Anolis sagrei: one gene and its partner. Each later gene encodes a partner of the first gene's protein in a complex. Links are inferred from orthologs where the notes say so. Each region holds a gene or a part of one and is shown in the gene's direction. Other genes may lie near its edges.

The links.
Region 2: INTS7 (region 1) and INTS12 share a complex: the UniProt entries of both Homo sapiens proteins name them as parts of the integrator complex. The link is inferred for Anolis sagrei from reciprocal best matches to the Homo sapiens genes INTS7 and INTS12.

Annotation. Positions count from the first base shown.
Region 1 is NC_090021.1:32,418,884-32,427,263, reverse strand, and holds the start of INTS7 (integrator complex subunit 7), read left to right. Parts: upstream 1-4,970; 5' UTR 4,971-5,126; coding exon 5,127-5,217; intron 5,218-6,518; coding exon 6,519-6,648; intron 6,649-7,606; coding exon 7,607-7,753; intron 7,754-8,380. Other genes in the region: DTL (denticleless protein homolog), read right to left, coding at 677-792, 1,110-1,175, 1,411-1,531, 2,372-2,433, 2,619-2,717, 4,166-4,291, 4,614-4,659. UniProt on the Homo sapiens protein: Component of the integrator complex, a multiprotein complex that terminates RNA polymerase II (Pol II) transcription in the promoter-proximal region of genes.
Region 2 is NC_090025.1:29,043,285-29,050,766, reverse strand, and holds the start of INTS12 (integrator complex subunit 12), read left to right. Parts: upstream 1-4,133; 5' UTR 4,134-4,265; intron 4,266-6,374; 5' UTR 6,375-6,382; coding exon 6,383-6,538; intron 6,539-7,482. UniProt on the Homo sapiens protein: Component of the integrator complex, a multiprotein complex that terminates RNA polymerase II (Pol II) transcription in the promoter-proximal region of genes.

The DNA of each region.
Region 1 (8,380 bases):
ATATCTTAGCCATTTATCTTGGCATTCCCTGTAAACATAGCTTAGTAAGCTTCTTCTTCATCTCCTCTGCTTTTGAAATTATCCATCATTTACAAATGGCTAACAGTACAGCACTGTAGGCAGATGCAGAGACTGTAGCAGTCATTTAACACACACACAAGTCACAAACACAAGAGGCCATGCAGAAAAAGGTAATTAAGGAAGCAGATCTACACAAGTAAGGATAACAGCGAGTAATCACCACAATGATGAGAAATTATATGGCAGTGTAGGAGCCTAGGAGTCCACAATTGTCTGGTCATTTTGTTTGGGGTTTATGTGAAAGAAACAAACACCACACAAGAATAAAATGAAAAGAGAGATGTTTGTGTGTCAGACTGAAAAAAAGGCAATTGTCTGGTAGTGATCGGCTTAGCAAAATTGTCTTGTGATGTCACAGCACCCTTTTGGTTTCTTCACCTCTCTGGCCGAAAGCAAGGAATCATTGAGGATAACTATTACTGGGGACTAGCAAAGATCTGTTTCACCACATTTGCTCACTTTTCTTCCTGGCATTTACTATTTCCGGTTTACTTTTGAGCTCAGAGAGATTTCAACCTGGAAAAGCCATAACAGAACAACTTACAGAACTAACTTTTTCAAAATGCAAGACACCTTTTAGCTTTTGGATCCTTACCACTGATGGAGCAAGGCCTCTTGAGTTCTGCTTCTTCTTCTTTAGTTTGGAGGGCGTCTGCTTGTCTGTTATGTTGTGGGCTCCACTTATTTGTTTCACCTGTCTGTAAAATCCATCTGGAAAGCGGTTTTCAAGAACAAATGTTAAAAGCAACCTCCACTGCATCATAAACTTAGGGCCCTTCCACAAAGTCCTATAACCCAGAATATCAAGGCAGAAAATCCCACAATATCCGCTTTGAACTGGGTTATTTGAGTCCACACTGCCATATATCCCAGTTCAAAGCAGATAATGTGGGATTTTATTCAGCTGTGTGGAAGGGGCTTTAGTTTCAGGATTATATTTGTATCTCAGCAGAAGGAAAAGCCTTACAAAGCTTTATGAAGGCTGGGGGAAGGAGAATGGAGATAAGATAAACAGATACTTAGTATACCTTTTTTATTACATCGAGTATCCCAAACCATGATGTTTCCATCTCTTCCTCCTGTACAGAACACCGCTGTGAAATATAAAAATAAGATGCTTCATTTTTTAAAAAAGGGATAAAGGTCAATACCAAATCCCTTTGAGGAACTCTCCTCTTCAAGAGATATGTCCAGGCCATTCTAATCCAGGCTCTTAGCCCTCCACACTCCCAGCTCTGTTTTGCAATTGGGTGATTTAAATTCCCATGTTCTCTTCTTAAAGGGGGATTGTCAATATGGCCAGATGATGATGATAACATTAACACTTACCACTCTCAAATTTGGAGAAAGCAACGGACTTCAGGCTGCACTGGTGCCCTTTGCACACCCCAAGAAGTTCACCAGTCCTTACATCCCACACTTTTGCCGTCTGATCTCCTGAAGCAGTTACCTGAACGATAAAAATATGAGTTAACTATTATTTGCAGTGAGTGACACCAAACTGTTGAATATCTTATCAGACTATAAACTTATTGAGACAGGGCCTTTTGAAGGGAAAGCCTGATATTTCATCAACTATGTACAGCAAGGGCCCCCTGGTGGCGCAGTGGGTTAAACCACTGAGCTGCTGAACTTGCTGACCGAAAGGTTGGCGGTTCCAGTGTGGGGAGCGGGGTGAGCTCCCACTGTTAGCCCCAGCTTCTGCCAATCTAGCAGTTTGAAAACATGCAAATGTGAGTAAATCAATAGGTATCGCTTCTGCAAGAAGGTAATGGCACTCCATGCAGTCATGCCGACCACAAGACTTTGGAGATGTCTATGGATAATGTCAGCTCTTCAGCTTAGAAATTGAGATGAGCATCACCTCCCAGAACTGGACACAATTAGACTTAATGTCAGGGGAAACCTTTACTATCTTATGTACAACAAAGTTTGAGAGAAGTGCTATATACATGTTTACTCCAGCAAATTCAGTGGGACCTACTCTCAGGTGTACATGAAGAAAGTAAACAAGCATATACATAGCTTGACTTGAGAGTACAAGTTAACAGATATACAGATGTGTCTTAGTACTTAGAATGCAAAATATATATACCTTATAGAATTAATGGAATCAGAAGTGTCTTGGAAGTAATTTTGTCTCAAGCTTTCTATTGCAAGGTCCAACAATTTCCCCCATAAATATGTTCCCATACTTGTGCCCATTGACTATAATGTTTTACTTTCCTAGAAATTTGGCTTCTTCTAAGCCCCGTTGAACATAAGGGCAAGATAATACTACTTTACTCACAATTTTGTGTTCTCTGGGCATCCAGGCAAGGTCAAAAACAGCATTTGAATGCGCTTGCCATTCTGAAGGGAAACAAAAAACAAAATCCACATTAATCATTAAGAGTTAAAAGAATATGGTCTATTTATTTACCTCTCTGTATGCTGTGAAATTCAATTTTTCAAGAATGCCAAGTAAGTTTAAGCACATCCTAAAAATGGCCCAGCATTTATCAGAACAATTTAGCACAATCAAGTGTTGTGTTTACCTCTAAAAATCTTTTTGCTGCTTGTTGATGCATGAGTATCATACAGCCTAACGATCCCCTCTTCATTTGCAACAGCAAGAATATGTTGTGCATTGGGAGCTGGAAAATAAATAAGCAAAATGTCTGTTTCTAAAAGTTTTACAAGTAACAGTAATGTATAACACTCTGCTAAAATTACTGCTTACCTACTTGACAAAAAAAACACAGAAGTAAAATGGAGATAAACCTACAGGACAGTATTAAGAGATCAAGACTAGATGTCAGTCTGTGATCTGCACGCATTCGCTGATACATCACGCAGTCCTAGACACTTGGGAAGTGTCTGAAAGGTGATCAAATACAAAAGCCAGCAGTGACCTTGTTTGCTGTATACTAATCTTGCTATGTATCAAATAATACGCTTTATTTATATTCCACCCTTCTCCCTGATTTATTATTTATGTATTTCCAACTTAATGGGAAGTTTAGTTTCACAATCCTTTGTTTCTTTATGAGCTCCCTGCAAATAACTTACTCCTATTCTTATCTCATTCGAGTTTTTAAACATTTTATTCTGAACATGTGGCCTTCCCACTGTCACTGTGATTGTGTTTATTGGAATGTTACTTTGTTATTGTATTCATATGTTTTTTAATGTAATTTTGATGCTGTTGCTTGTTGCTTATGTTTTGGTTTTATTTTGCTGTAATGTGTTGTCCGGGCTTGGCCTCATGTAAGCCTTCCCAAGTCCCCGTTGGGGAAGATGGTGGCGGGGTATAAATAAAGTTTATTATTATTATTTACATACACAGACAAAGAGTCAGTGCATTTATAATTATATATGATACACAAACACAAACAAAGGCAGAGGGTTCTCCGTTCATTTCCAGCTTCTGGAGGTGGTGCTCATCTCAGGCTCTGGGAAGGTGCTTTCTTCATTTTCAAGCCAAAGAGCCTGTGTTGTCACCTTCCTGGTTGTGTGGCCGGCAAGATTTCTTGGAGTGTCTCTGTCTTTTCCTGCCAAAGCAGTACCTATTTATCTACTCACATTTGCATGTTTTCGAACTGCTATGTTGGCAGGAACTGTCTTGTGGATTTGAACCTCCGACCTTCCAGTCAGCAATTCAGCCAACCGTCAGGTCAGAAGTTCAACAAAATGAGGGTTTAACCCTCCAAGGTCATTTACCCAGCCCTCACTCAGGGTCAACATAAGTCTGAAATGACGTGAAAGCACACCACAACAACAACCCTATCTCATCAGCCAAAAGCAGGCACACATTTCCCATTGAAATACTAACAAGTTTATATTTGTTAAAATTGTTCTTTTCAATTACTATACTGTTTTATGTGTTTTTTGCACTACACATAAGATATGTGCGGTGTGCATAGGAATTTATTCATATTTTTTTCAAATTATAATTTGTTCAACTGTTTGAGGGACTGTGACCTGGCCCTCTGTTTAAAAAGTTTGTGGACCCATTGCGCCACCGCGGACTACTGATCGTAATCTAAACACAAAAGGAAAGAACTACAAATGTTCACAAATTGGACAACCCCCTCCATTGTACCTGTTGAAAAGGTGCACCCGAAAGGAGGAACCGGGATTCCCATTTCTCCAAAGGACGGATGGTCATCTTCTCTAGTACAAGAATAGCACCCTAGAAGGTGCTGTAAGGAAAATCTTGGCAGCAGACCTACATAGAAACAATAATAAGGTGGGGAAAAACAATAATTAGCTGCTAATACCAAAGGTCACTTCTGCTTCAGTGTTTATGGGCCAGGCATGGGTAAACTTGGGCCCTCCCTCCAGGTGTTTTGGACTCCAACTCCCACCATTCCTAACAGCCTCAGGCCCCTTCCTTTTCCCCCTCAGCCGCTTAAGCGGCTGAGGGGGAAAAGGAAAGGGCCTGAGGCTGTTAGGAATGGTGGGAGTTGGAGTCCAAAACACCTGGAGGGCACTAAAATCCCCATGTGTTCCCCGCAATATATATTGCAAGCACAGAAATCCAAACCCACCATGCGGTCCACCTTGGCAGCGATGGACGAGGGAGCGGCACAGCATGGTAAACAGAGCTCAAGACCTCCTTGGCTCTCCGCGCGGCGCCAACTGAAACTCCCAGCCCATCCCCTAACTCCCGCCAACCCGAACTACGCGCCAAAGTCACTTCCTTGCTTCCCATTGGTTATAGCAGAAACACAAACCACGCCCCTGTTTTCCTATTGGTTCCCACTTTACCACCTTCCTCGCGAGACCACGCCCACCGCCCTTCAGCTTTCCATTGAAATGAGAACCGGCTTTCCTTGCAGTGGCGCATGCGCATCGACTCCTTAAAAACCGGACTGCGCGCATGCGCGCTAGGCACGTCAAGGCGCACGCGCGCCCGTTTGCACATGCGCGCTAGCTTCTGCTCGTGAGGGAGAGGGAAGGCGGTGCGCGCCGAGTTGTGTCCGAGTGGAAATGGAAATAATAAACTTTTTTCTCTCCCTCCCTTTCCTGTGAGGGGTTTTGTTTGTATACTACACAACAACATGGCCTCGGCTTCCAAATCCTTTCTTGCCGACGCCGGCTATGGCGAACAAGAACTGGATGCAAACTCCGCCCTCATGGAGCTGGATAAAGGTAAGAGGGAAAGCGAGGGATGTGCGCATGCGCCGAAGTCACAGTGATGGCCTTGTTTGACCGAAGCCCCGCCCCTTTATCCTGAGGCGGGGAATTTGAAAGGGAGAGGCGGGGTTTGTTTTCAGGAGAATTAGTGCTGTCTGACACGTCATGGCTCGAGGCGATGGCATCTTGGGAATTGTAGTTTTACAACCTTCACTGCCAAATTGTGCTGGTTCCTCACCAAACTATTTATTTACGACATTTATGTGCCGCCATGGCTATTCAAGTGGCGCCAAACTGTATTTATTTTATTTTTATTTATTTACAGTATTTGTATACCGCTTTTCTCGCCCCGAGGGGGGCTCAAAGCTGTTTACACATAAGCAATGGCAAAAATTCAATGCCAGTACAAACAATTACAATTATACACTACAATTAGACATAAATCAAATTAAAAAATCATAGAATCAAAGAGTTGGAAGAGACCTCATGGGCCATCCAGTCCAACCCCCTGCCAAGAAGCAGGAATATTGCATTCAAAGCATCCCTGACAGATGGCTATCCAGCCTCTGTTTAAAAGCTTCCAAAGAAGGAGCCTCCACCACACTCCGGGGCAGAGAGTTCCACTGCTGAACGGCTCTCACACTCAGGAAGTTCTTCCTAATGTTCAGAGATGGAATCTCCTTTCTTGTAGTTTGAAGCCATTGTTCCAGGTCCTAGTCTCCAGGGCAGCAGAAAACAAGCTTGCTCCGTCCCCCCTATGACTTTATCTCACATATTTCTACATGGCTATCATGTTTCTTCTCAGCCTTCTCTTCTTCAGGCTAAACATGCCCAGCTCTTTAAGCCACTCTTCATAGGGTTTGTTCTCCAGACCCTTGATCATTTTAGTTGCCCTACTCTGGACACATTCTCTGGAAGACCTGTATTTGCATATTTCTCCATAATCTTGGTGATAGGACCCAGGCCTAAACACAAAATTTGGCAGAGAAGTCTTTAAAAAACTTGTAAAACTACAACTCCAATGGTTCCATAGCATTCAACTACAGCAGTTGAACTGCATGAATTATCCAGTATTAATTCTCTGCCTTAGGCCCTTGAGTGGGGAAAGGCGGGATAAAAATTGCCTAAATTAATTAAATGCTCCTTTTGTCTCTCAGCCAAGTAATAACCAGAATTGACCCTGCTTAACTTCCAGCATCAGATGGCCTTGTTACATATTTCACCCAACATTCATAGTCTGCTTCATTTCATAGTCTGCTTCATTATCTCTGCTTCTATGCCTTTAGGTGCTGTGCTGATTTTACTTTCTGTTGCAGGTCTTCGATCTGGCAAACTTGGGGAGCAGTGTGAAGCTGTTGTCCGTTTTCCCAGACTCTTTCAGAAGTATCCATTCCCGATTCTAATTAACTCAGCATTTTTAAAACTTGCTGATGTTTTCAGAGTTGGGTAAGCTAAACTTGTATGTTCTGGATTTGTAGTATTGAAGCACTGAGTTGCTTTTAATTCAAAGCACTGCTGATAGCCATTTCTTGGGGCGTTGTGGTTAGAAGCAGGTTGACTAGGAAATGTTCTTCTGTATAGGTCTTGCCCACTCAGGGTGCTTCCATACAGTGCCAAAATGCGGATTAAAAGGGGAAAGATAAAAAGCTCTCAGAGCAGGTCCCCGCACAGATCGGTCCCAGGCTTTCTTCCCCTGCTGTCCTCACAGCCCTTCTTTTTGAAATGGGTTTCCCTCTGTTGCTGCGATTGAGCGCGCATTTAGCGGAAATGTCATCTCTCCCCCCCCCCCCCTTAACTTGTTCTCGCCCGGATTATAGCTATTGTATGGAAGAACCTTTAGTGATAGATCAAGTGGAAATTGTGTTGTGGTATTTTATGGAAACCACAGAAAAGCTGTGTAGGTACCCTCACCCTAGCATGGAAATTTCCTATTGAGGGATGCTTCTTCTTGCCTTTTGCCTGTTAATACCCATTTGATATATGGCAAAGTCACCCTTTTAAGAACTCTTACGTGCCATAACATCTGCTTGGAGTTTTCACTCTGCACTGGAATTTTAATTATGATTATTAATTATTAATTCATTTGCAAGAGCCAGTATGATTATGGCATTTTGAGTGGCGGTCTAGGTCTCAGGGAGGTTCGGGTTGGAATCCCACCTTGATCATAAAGTGGGATTTGGTGAAGCCATACTCTCTCAACCTCAGAGGAAAACAATAGCAAGTCTTGCTAAGGAAATCCCACTTATGTTTTATTTTTCCACTTTTTGGACTTTCATTCAGTTGTCATTGTGATGTAGTTGTGATTCTTTGGTACTGTTGATTTTCTATTGCTACCTGCCTCAGACTTTTTATAGAAATTGGAAACATAATGATTTTTAGTAATTAAAATATTATTTCAAAACAGAAACAACTTCCTGAGACTCTGTGTTTTGAAAGTTACTCAGCAGAGTGAGAAACACTTGGAGAAGATCTTGAATGTGGATGAGTTTGTGAAAAGAGTTTTCTCAGTTATTCACAGTAACGATCCAGTTGCACGCGCCATCACACTCAGGTATGCACACTTAACTCAGCAAGGATCTGCCCAGATGCTGCATTCTGGAGGGTGCCACTTATAGTGGGCAATGTGAACATATTAAGCAGGTATATGCTGAGAAAGATTATTAGTTTGTGTACTGTTTCCTCTGATTTGCAAATGATCTTCAGGGTATCTGATGGAGTCTTTCCCAGTTCTGTGGCATGGATTCATTTTTAATTGGATAAGTTAGGGATTGACTGAGCTGCAGGGAAAAGTGTATTCTATGACTGGATTATAATTGTTCCCCAAGACTTCAATTTCAACAGTGTGAAGAAATGGCAATAAAGTTGCCCAGAATGTATTTTATGTTTATGTTTAACAACTGAATAATATTGTATGATAACATTGAAAAGACACAGTAAAAAAGAACATTTTGATTTATGTTTAGGTGATACATTTTTGAACAGCTGAGTGTCTATTTTGTTACTTGAAAGAGAGGTTTTCAAGTTGGTTTGAGCACCTTTTTTATTCTGAACCAAGGCATACCTAAAGCAGGCTTTATGATAGCAGCAGTATTGTGATCAAAAATGGCACAATAATGTGAAAAGGGCAGGGAAAAAAGGCTTTTGACATAGCCTCTAGGTTTGGCTATTGGTTGTTTTG
Region 2 (7,482 bases), on another chromosome or scaffold:
CCTTTTTCCTATTGGAAACATCAATTCATTCACAAACCAAATGAATTATACTAGCCTAAAATGAAAGGGCAATACCAAGATATGCTTGGCATGGGGACTCTACATTAAGTTAATCTTCTCTCTGCAATTTTTGGCATCACCCCTCCTTCATATTGGCTAGTAAAGGCAGAAAATACTGTTTAATGGCACTGTTTTAAGACAGTCAAAACAACATAGTATCCATCATCCTTCTCGTATTAACACACACAGCAAAGGAATAAGTTCCTACACCATTAAAAAAGTTCAATGTTTTTGAGCAAACTTTGCATCCAAAATTCAACAATATTCACATGGGAAATCAAATAACTTGAATTAACAATTGGTTAAAATGCATTATTTTCAGAGTAAGACCCAATTTTACATCTTGAAAGTCTCTCTTTTACCATCACACTACCAATGCAAATTCTTCAGCATATGGTACTTAAATGGTTGAGTAGTCCACTGATTTCATTAAGTTATTCAATATACAGTGGGAACAGGGATTACATTCCTGATTTGCAGAATACCGACATAATTTTGGTGACTAGATCTTTCTGCCTCCTGTTTAATCTTGTGTGATGTGTACAATTACAGACTCCACTTACTAAACCCTAGGGACCACATCGTTTGACATGCACATCTGCAGCCTCAGCTTTTTATTTGGAAATTGTGAGGAAATGTACCAATTCCCACTTCCCCTATGGAAGTGAGAAGATTTTTTTAAAAACACATAATACACAGTAGAATTAATGCAACTTTAACTGCCACAGAAAATATTATGGAATCCTTGTAATTGTAGTCTGATGAGGCACCAGCACTCTTTGGCAGAGAAGGCTACAGACTTTCTAAAACTACAGCTCCCAGGATTCCATGGCATTGAGCCATGGCAATTCAAGTGCATTAATTCTACAGTATAGACCAGTGGTTCCCAACCTGTGGGTCCCCAGATGTTTTGGCCTTCAACTCCCAGAAATCCAACAGCTGGTAAACTGGCTGGGATTTCTGGGAGTTATAAGCCAAAACACCTGGGGACACACAGTTTGAGAACCACTGGTGTAGACAAACCTTGGTTACATTGCTTTCATTGTTAATAGCACTGTTCTTGAAAGTTCGACAGTGGATTACGTAAAATAAAAATTAAGTCATTTACACAAAAAAATATTATTAAAAGAAGTCACAACTCCTCTGGCAAAGGCAGCAACCTAAGAATCAAAATAATGAATGATGCAGAAAGAGGTTGACAACGGAACTTCTGCGTATCTTCTCACCATTAAATATATTTTCGCTTAAAGGGAGATCTCGTTGCTCGGAAAATTTCAATTGGAAATTTCAATTGGTACAATGGGCGGCAGTCAGGTTACTAACTGGCGCAACTTACAGAGAGCGGTCAACCCTCCTGTTTAAGGAGCTCCACTGGGTGCCTTTCATTTTCCGGTCCGAATTCAGGGTGCAGGTTCTTACCTACAAAGCCCTGAATGGTTTGGGACCCGCCTACCTAAGTGACCGCATTTCTGTGTACGAACCCACACAATCTCTTCAATCGTCTGGAGAGGCCCTGCTCGCGCTCCCACTTCCTTCACAGGCGCGTTTGGTGGGGACAAGGGAGAGGGCCTTCTCAGTGGTGGCCCCCTGACTCTGGAACTCACTTCCCAAGGAGTCTTTAGGAGGAGTCTTTAGGAGGAGCCTGAAAACGTGGTTGTTCCAGTGTGTCTTCCCAGAATAAGGAAAACTCTCAGAAATATGCCCTCAAAATGTACTTTTACCACAGATTTAGGACTGACTGCATTCCCTCATCTCTCTTTGAAAACCCTATACCAGTTATATCCTACCTTGTTCATGCCCAGTGTTATTTTTTAAATTTTAAACTATTACATTTGGCCTGGCCATAAGTTTTTAAATGCGTGTATGTTACTGGTGGCCCCCCGACTCTGGAACTCACTTCCTAAGGACATCAGGCAGGCCCCAACTTTGGCAGTCTTTAGGAGGAGCTTGAAGACGTGGCTGTTCCTGTGTGCCTTCCAAGAATAATGATCCCATAGCACTTTGTCCTCCAAAGCACTTTACATTTTAGGCCTGCTTGTATGTTTTCCACAAATGCCCCATCACTTTTTCGCCCATGTTCCAGCATTACTTCCAATTTTAATTTTACATTTGGCCTTCCCATAGTTTTTAATCATGTGGTCTTATTGTTAATGTTGCATTATTGGATTGTCCATGTTTATTTTAATTACTTGTATTGCTGTTATTATTGCTTGTATTGTTGCATTTGGGCTCAGCCTCATGTAAGCCGCACCGAGTCCCTTGGGGAGATGGTAGCAGGGTACAAATAAAGTATTATTATTATTATTATCATTATTTATTGGTTATGTGATTTATATTAATTATATTGTATTGATTGTTTTTGTTATTGCTTTTTGTTTTATTGATGTACTGTTGGGCTTGGCCTCATGTAAGCTGCACTGAGTCCCTTGGGGAGATGGTAGCAGGGTATAAATAAAGTATTATTATTATTATTATTATTATTATTATTATTATTATTATCATTATTTATTGGTTATGTGATTTATATTAATTGTATTGTATTGATTGTTTTTGTTATTGCTTTTTGTTTTATTGATGTATTGTTGGGCTTGGCCTCATGTAAGCCGCACCGAGTCCCTTGGAGAGATGGTAGCAGGGTATAAATAAAGTTTATTATTATTATTATTATTATTATTGCTCAACTAGCTGTCCCCTGCCACGCGTTGCTGTGGCCCAGTGTGTTGATCTGGAAAATAAAGTAATGAGAAAGTGCTGGTTTCCAATATATGTAATGTTGTTATGTTTGTGGGTAAACAGTATTTCTTGCTGTTTCTTTGTCAGTGTTGATGTGGAGAGTGTCTGGTTTGCCCACCCTGGAACATGCAACATATCATTGTCCTTCTTTAGGGGTCCCTTTCAAATCTATGATACTATATCTCTCTGTGTGTGAATCATATCTATCTATCTCTACCTATGGCTGGATGGCTCTTGGTCAGGAGGACTTTGATTATGTTTTCTTGCCCTGGTGAAGGGAGTTGGAATGGATGGCCTTAAGTATTCTCTGTTGGTCATGGGGGTTCTGTGTGGGAAGTTTATCCCGATTCTATCATTCATGGGGTTCAGAATGCTCTTTGATTGTAGGTGAACTGTGAATCCCAGTGGCTACAACTCCCAAATGTCAAGGTCTATTTCCCCCAAACTCCATCTGTGTTCATATTTGGGCGTATTGAGTGCTTGTGCCAAAGTTTGGTCCAGATCCATCATTGTTTGAGCCCACAGTGCTCTCTGTATGTAGGTGAACTACAACTCCCAAACTCAAGGTCAATGCCCACCAAACCCTTCCAGTATTTTCTGTTGGTCATGGGAGTTCTGTGTGCCAAGTTTGCTTCAATTCCATCGATGATGGGAGTTCAGAATTCTCGTTGATTGTAGGTGAACTATAAATCCCAGCAACTACAACTCCCAAATGACAAAATCATAATTTTTAGAGTGATGGCCACTCCTTGTGTTGTGAGACATTTTGTTGCCAAATTTGGTATGATTTCGTTCATTGGTTCTTTTGTTTTTAAGGTACTCATTATGCACAGAGCATTTATATATATATATATAGAGAGAGAGAGAGAGAGAGAGAGAGAGAATAGAATGCAATGGGATCTTGGGAGTTGTAGTTCTACAAGGTCTTCTGCTAGAGTGCTGTTGCCTCACCAAACTACAACTCCCAAGATCTCATAGCACTGAGCCATGGCAGGGAAAAGTGATGTCAAACTGCAAATTGTAGAGTAGGCCTGGGCCAACTTGGGCCCTCCCTCCAGGTGTTTTGGACTTCAACTCCCACAATTCCTAACAGCCGGTAGGGTGTTAGGAATTGTGGGAGTTGAAGTCCAAAACACCTGGAGGGAGGGCCCAAGTTGGCCCAGGCCTGGTGTAGAGGGGAAAAAGACAATCCTTTTCCAAGCAAAAGCTCGCTTTAAAAGCCAAAGACTTGATGGGACATTTCTCCAAAGCCTCCTTACCGGAGATCCTTAGCCAGCGCCTTCCTCTCAGTGTCCGCCTCAGAAGCCGCAAGCCCCGCCTCTTCCGGCGCTCCTCCTCACTTCCGTTGTGTGTCTGCCTGCCAGCCGGGGACAGAAGGCGGCCGGCACCTCTAGGGAGAAGGAGGAGAACGAGAAGGAGACACCTGGCTGGCTGGACTTCTCCTTCGCGACGGGGTTTCCCTGCCAAATGAGGTGAAAGAGCAGGGGCCAATGAGGAAGGGGTTATTTTTTTTGAAAGCTTCTCTCCATTGTGTGGTAATGAATTGTAATGTATTGTAATGAATGCCTTTCTCCTCCTGTGCTAAAGAGGACCATGCTACAACTCCCAGGATTCAAGAGCATTGAGTAAAGTGGTGTCAAACTGGCTCTATAGCAAGCAAGGGCTAACTTGGGCCCTCCAGGTGTTTTGGACTTCAACTCCCACAATTCCTAACAGCCGGTAGGCTGTTAGGAATTGTGGGAGTTGAAGTCCAAAACACCTGGAGGGAGGGCCCAAGTTGGCCCCTTCTAGCCTTGTCTCTCTCCTGAGGAATCTGTATAAGGACCAAGTAAAGTGGAAGGCAAAAGGAAGAGGGGCCGACCAAGGGCAAGATGGATGGATGGCATCCTTGAAGTGACTGGACTGACCTCGAAGGAGCTGGGGGTGGTGACAGGGAGCCGACAGGGAGCTCTGGCGTGGGCTGGTCCATGAGGTCATGAAGAGTCGGAGACGACTGATTGAATGAACAACTGACCATGGAACAACAGACTGGTTCAAGATTGCGAAAGGTGTACAGCAGGGTTGTCTACTCTCCCCCAACCTATTCAACTTGTATGCAGAACACATCATGCGATGTGCAGGGCTTGAGGAATTCAAGTCTGGGGTGAAAATTGCTGGAAGAAACATTAACAACCTTAGATATGCAGATGATACCACTTTGATGGCCGAAAGCGAGGAGGAGTTGAGGAGCCTTCTAATCAAGGTGAAAGAAAAAAGCGCAAAAGCTGGGTTGCTGTTAAACATCAAAAAACACAAGATTATGGCAACAAGAATGATTAACAACTGGGAAATAGAGGGGGGAAACGTGGAGACAGTGACAGACTTTGTATTTTTAGGTGCAAAGATTACTGCAGACACAGACTGCAGCCAGGAAATCAGGAGACGCTTACTTCTTGGGAGGAGAGCAGTGTCCAATCTTGATAAAATAGTGAAGAGTAGAGACATCACACTGGCAACAAAGATCCGCCCAGTCAAAGCCATGGTATTCGCTGTAGTAACCTACGGATGTGAGAACTGGACCTTAGGGAAGGCTGAGCAAAGGAAGATAGATGCTTTTGAACTGTGGTGTTGGAGGAAAGTTCTGAGAGTGCCTTGGACTGCGAGAAGATCCAACCAGTCCATCCTCCAGGAAATAAAGCCCAACTGCTCATTGGAGGGAAGGATACTAGAGACAAAGTGGAAGTACTTTGGCCACATCATGAGGAGACAGCAAAGCCTAGAGAAGATCTGCATAGTTAAAGCAATGATATTCCCCGTAGTCACCTACGGATGTGAGAGCTGGACCATAAAGAAGACTGAGTGAAGGAAGATACATGCTTTTGAACTGTGGTACTGGAGGAAAATTCTGTGAGTGCCTTGGATCGCAAGAAGATCAAACCCATACATATTCCAGGAAATAAAGCCCGACTACTCATTGGAGGGAAGGATATTAGAGGCAAAGATAAAGTGCTTTGGCCACATAATGAGAAGATAGGAAAGCTTGGAGGAGATGGAAGGAAAAAGGGACCGACTCAAGGGCAAGATGGATGGATGTTATCTTTGAAGTGACTGGCTTGACTTTGAAAAAGCTGGGGGTGGCCATGGCCGACAGGGAGCTCTAGCGTGGACTAGTCCATGAGCTCATTATTATTATTATTAACTTTATTTGTACCCCGCTAGCATCTCCCGCAGGACTTGATGCGGCTTACAAAGGCCAAGGCCTCAACACAACAGCAAAACAATAACAATACAATTTAAAGCAAATTAAAACATAAGCAATAACAAAATGTTACATCATTATGCAATAAAACCAGGGCTGGGCCAGTGATGGGTACAGGTTAAAAAGTGCTGGGTGTGGCAGGAGGTATGTTGGATTTCCGGGCAAGTGCAATGTGCAGAGAGTCTTAAACTCTAATAAAGTGCTTCTGGGACGTAGTAGCTCAGGTAGAGTAGGAAGCAACTGAATGAATAAACAACAAAAACCAAAGGTTAGTTGACAAGCAAAACATATGTTTAAACTTTTTCCATCTTGTTATTTCTCTCTTTCTTTTCTTCCTTCAAAGGTGCTGCTATGGCTGCTGCTATGAACTTGGAGCTGGACCCCATCTTCTTGAAAGCTCTTGGTTTCTTGCATTCCAAAAGCAAAGATTCTGCTGAGAAACTCAAAGCGCTGCTTGACGAATCCTTGTCCAGAGGGATAGACTCAAGCTACCGCCCCTCACAGAAGGTACTAGCCCTAATATATGGAATATGTAAGGTATTTTGTGCTCCTCCTTAAACTGAGGTGCTTTTTGTCAGAAAAAGGTACTATGGTTATGGCTGAGCACTTGATGAACCAACTTGACTCAGCATATTATTTGAGAACACAGAAATGCTGGACCATTCTAACAACCACCATGTCAGACTATACAGAGAAGCCCTTGAAATCCACAAGCGTGTGGACAATTTCAACAGAAAGGAGGAAACCATGCACAAAATCTGGCTACTAGTATTAAAAAAATTCTATCAGGACAGTAAATAAAGAACAACACTCAAAAAACGGGAATTCTGGACAGGAAATAGTTAGGGCCAGCTAACACCTGACAAAGGATTCCTCCAGAAAGGAAGCAAATAACCCAGTTCAAAGCAAATATTGTTGGATTTTCTGCCTTGATATTCTGGGTTATATGGCTGTGTGGAAGGAACCTGAATCAAAAAACCATTTAGATTCCAAAGAAAGCTTTGAGGGTTTTTTTAAACCCCACAAACTCACTATATGGAGATTTCATTTTGATCAGAAGAAGTGAATATGTCAAATAAAGAATAAATAAAGAAGGTTGCAATCATGAGGAAGTAACTCTACTGAACTCGATGAGTAAACATACTTTGAATCAGTCTGTGAAAATACAGAGAAATTAAAACAAACAATTACTACACTATGTAACAAAATTTGAAACATTTTTTGTTACTGATTTGAAAGTGTTATTTAATAGTACCATACTGATTTTGAAAGTGTTATACTCCAGAAACTTGGTTTTTGTGGCTGCCACAAACTATGTTGAATTGATTGAATTTGACTCGAGATATTCATTGAAAAAACTATAGCAAAATGTGCTGTGGGATGTCTGGCTTTTAAATTTTAATGCTTTATAAAACTTTTATTAAAGTCAGTTTTTAAGCCTGCTTTTTAAA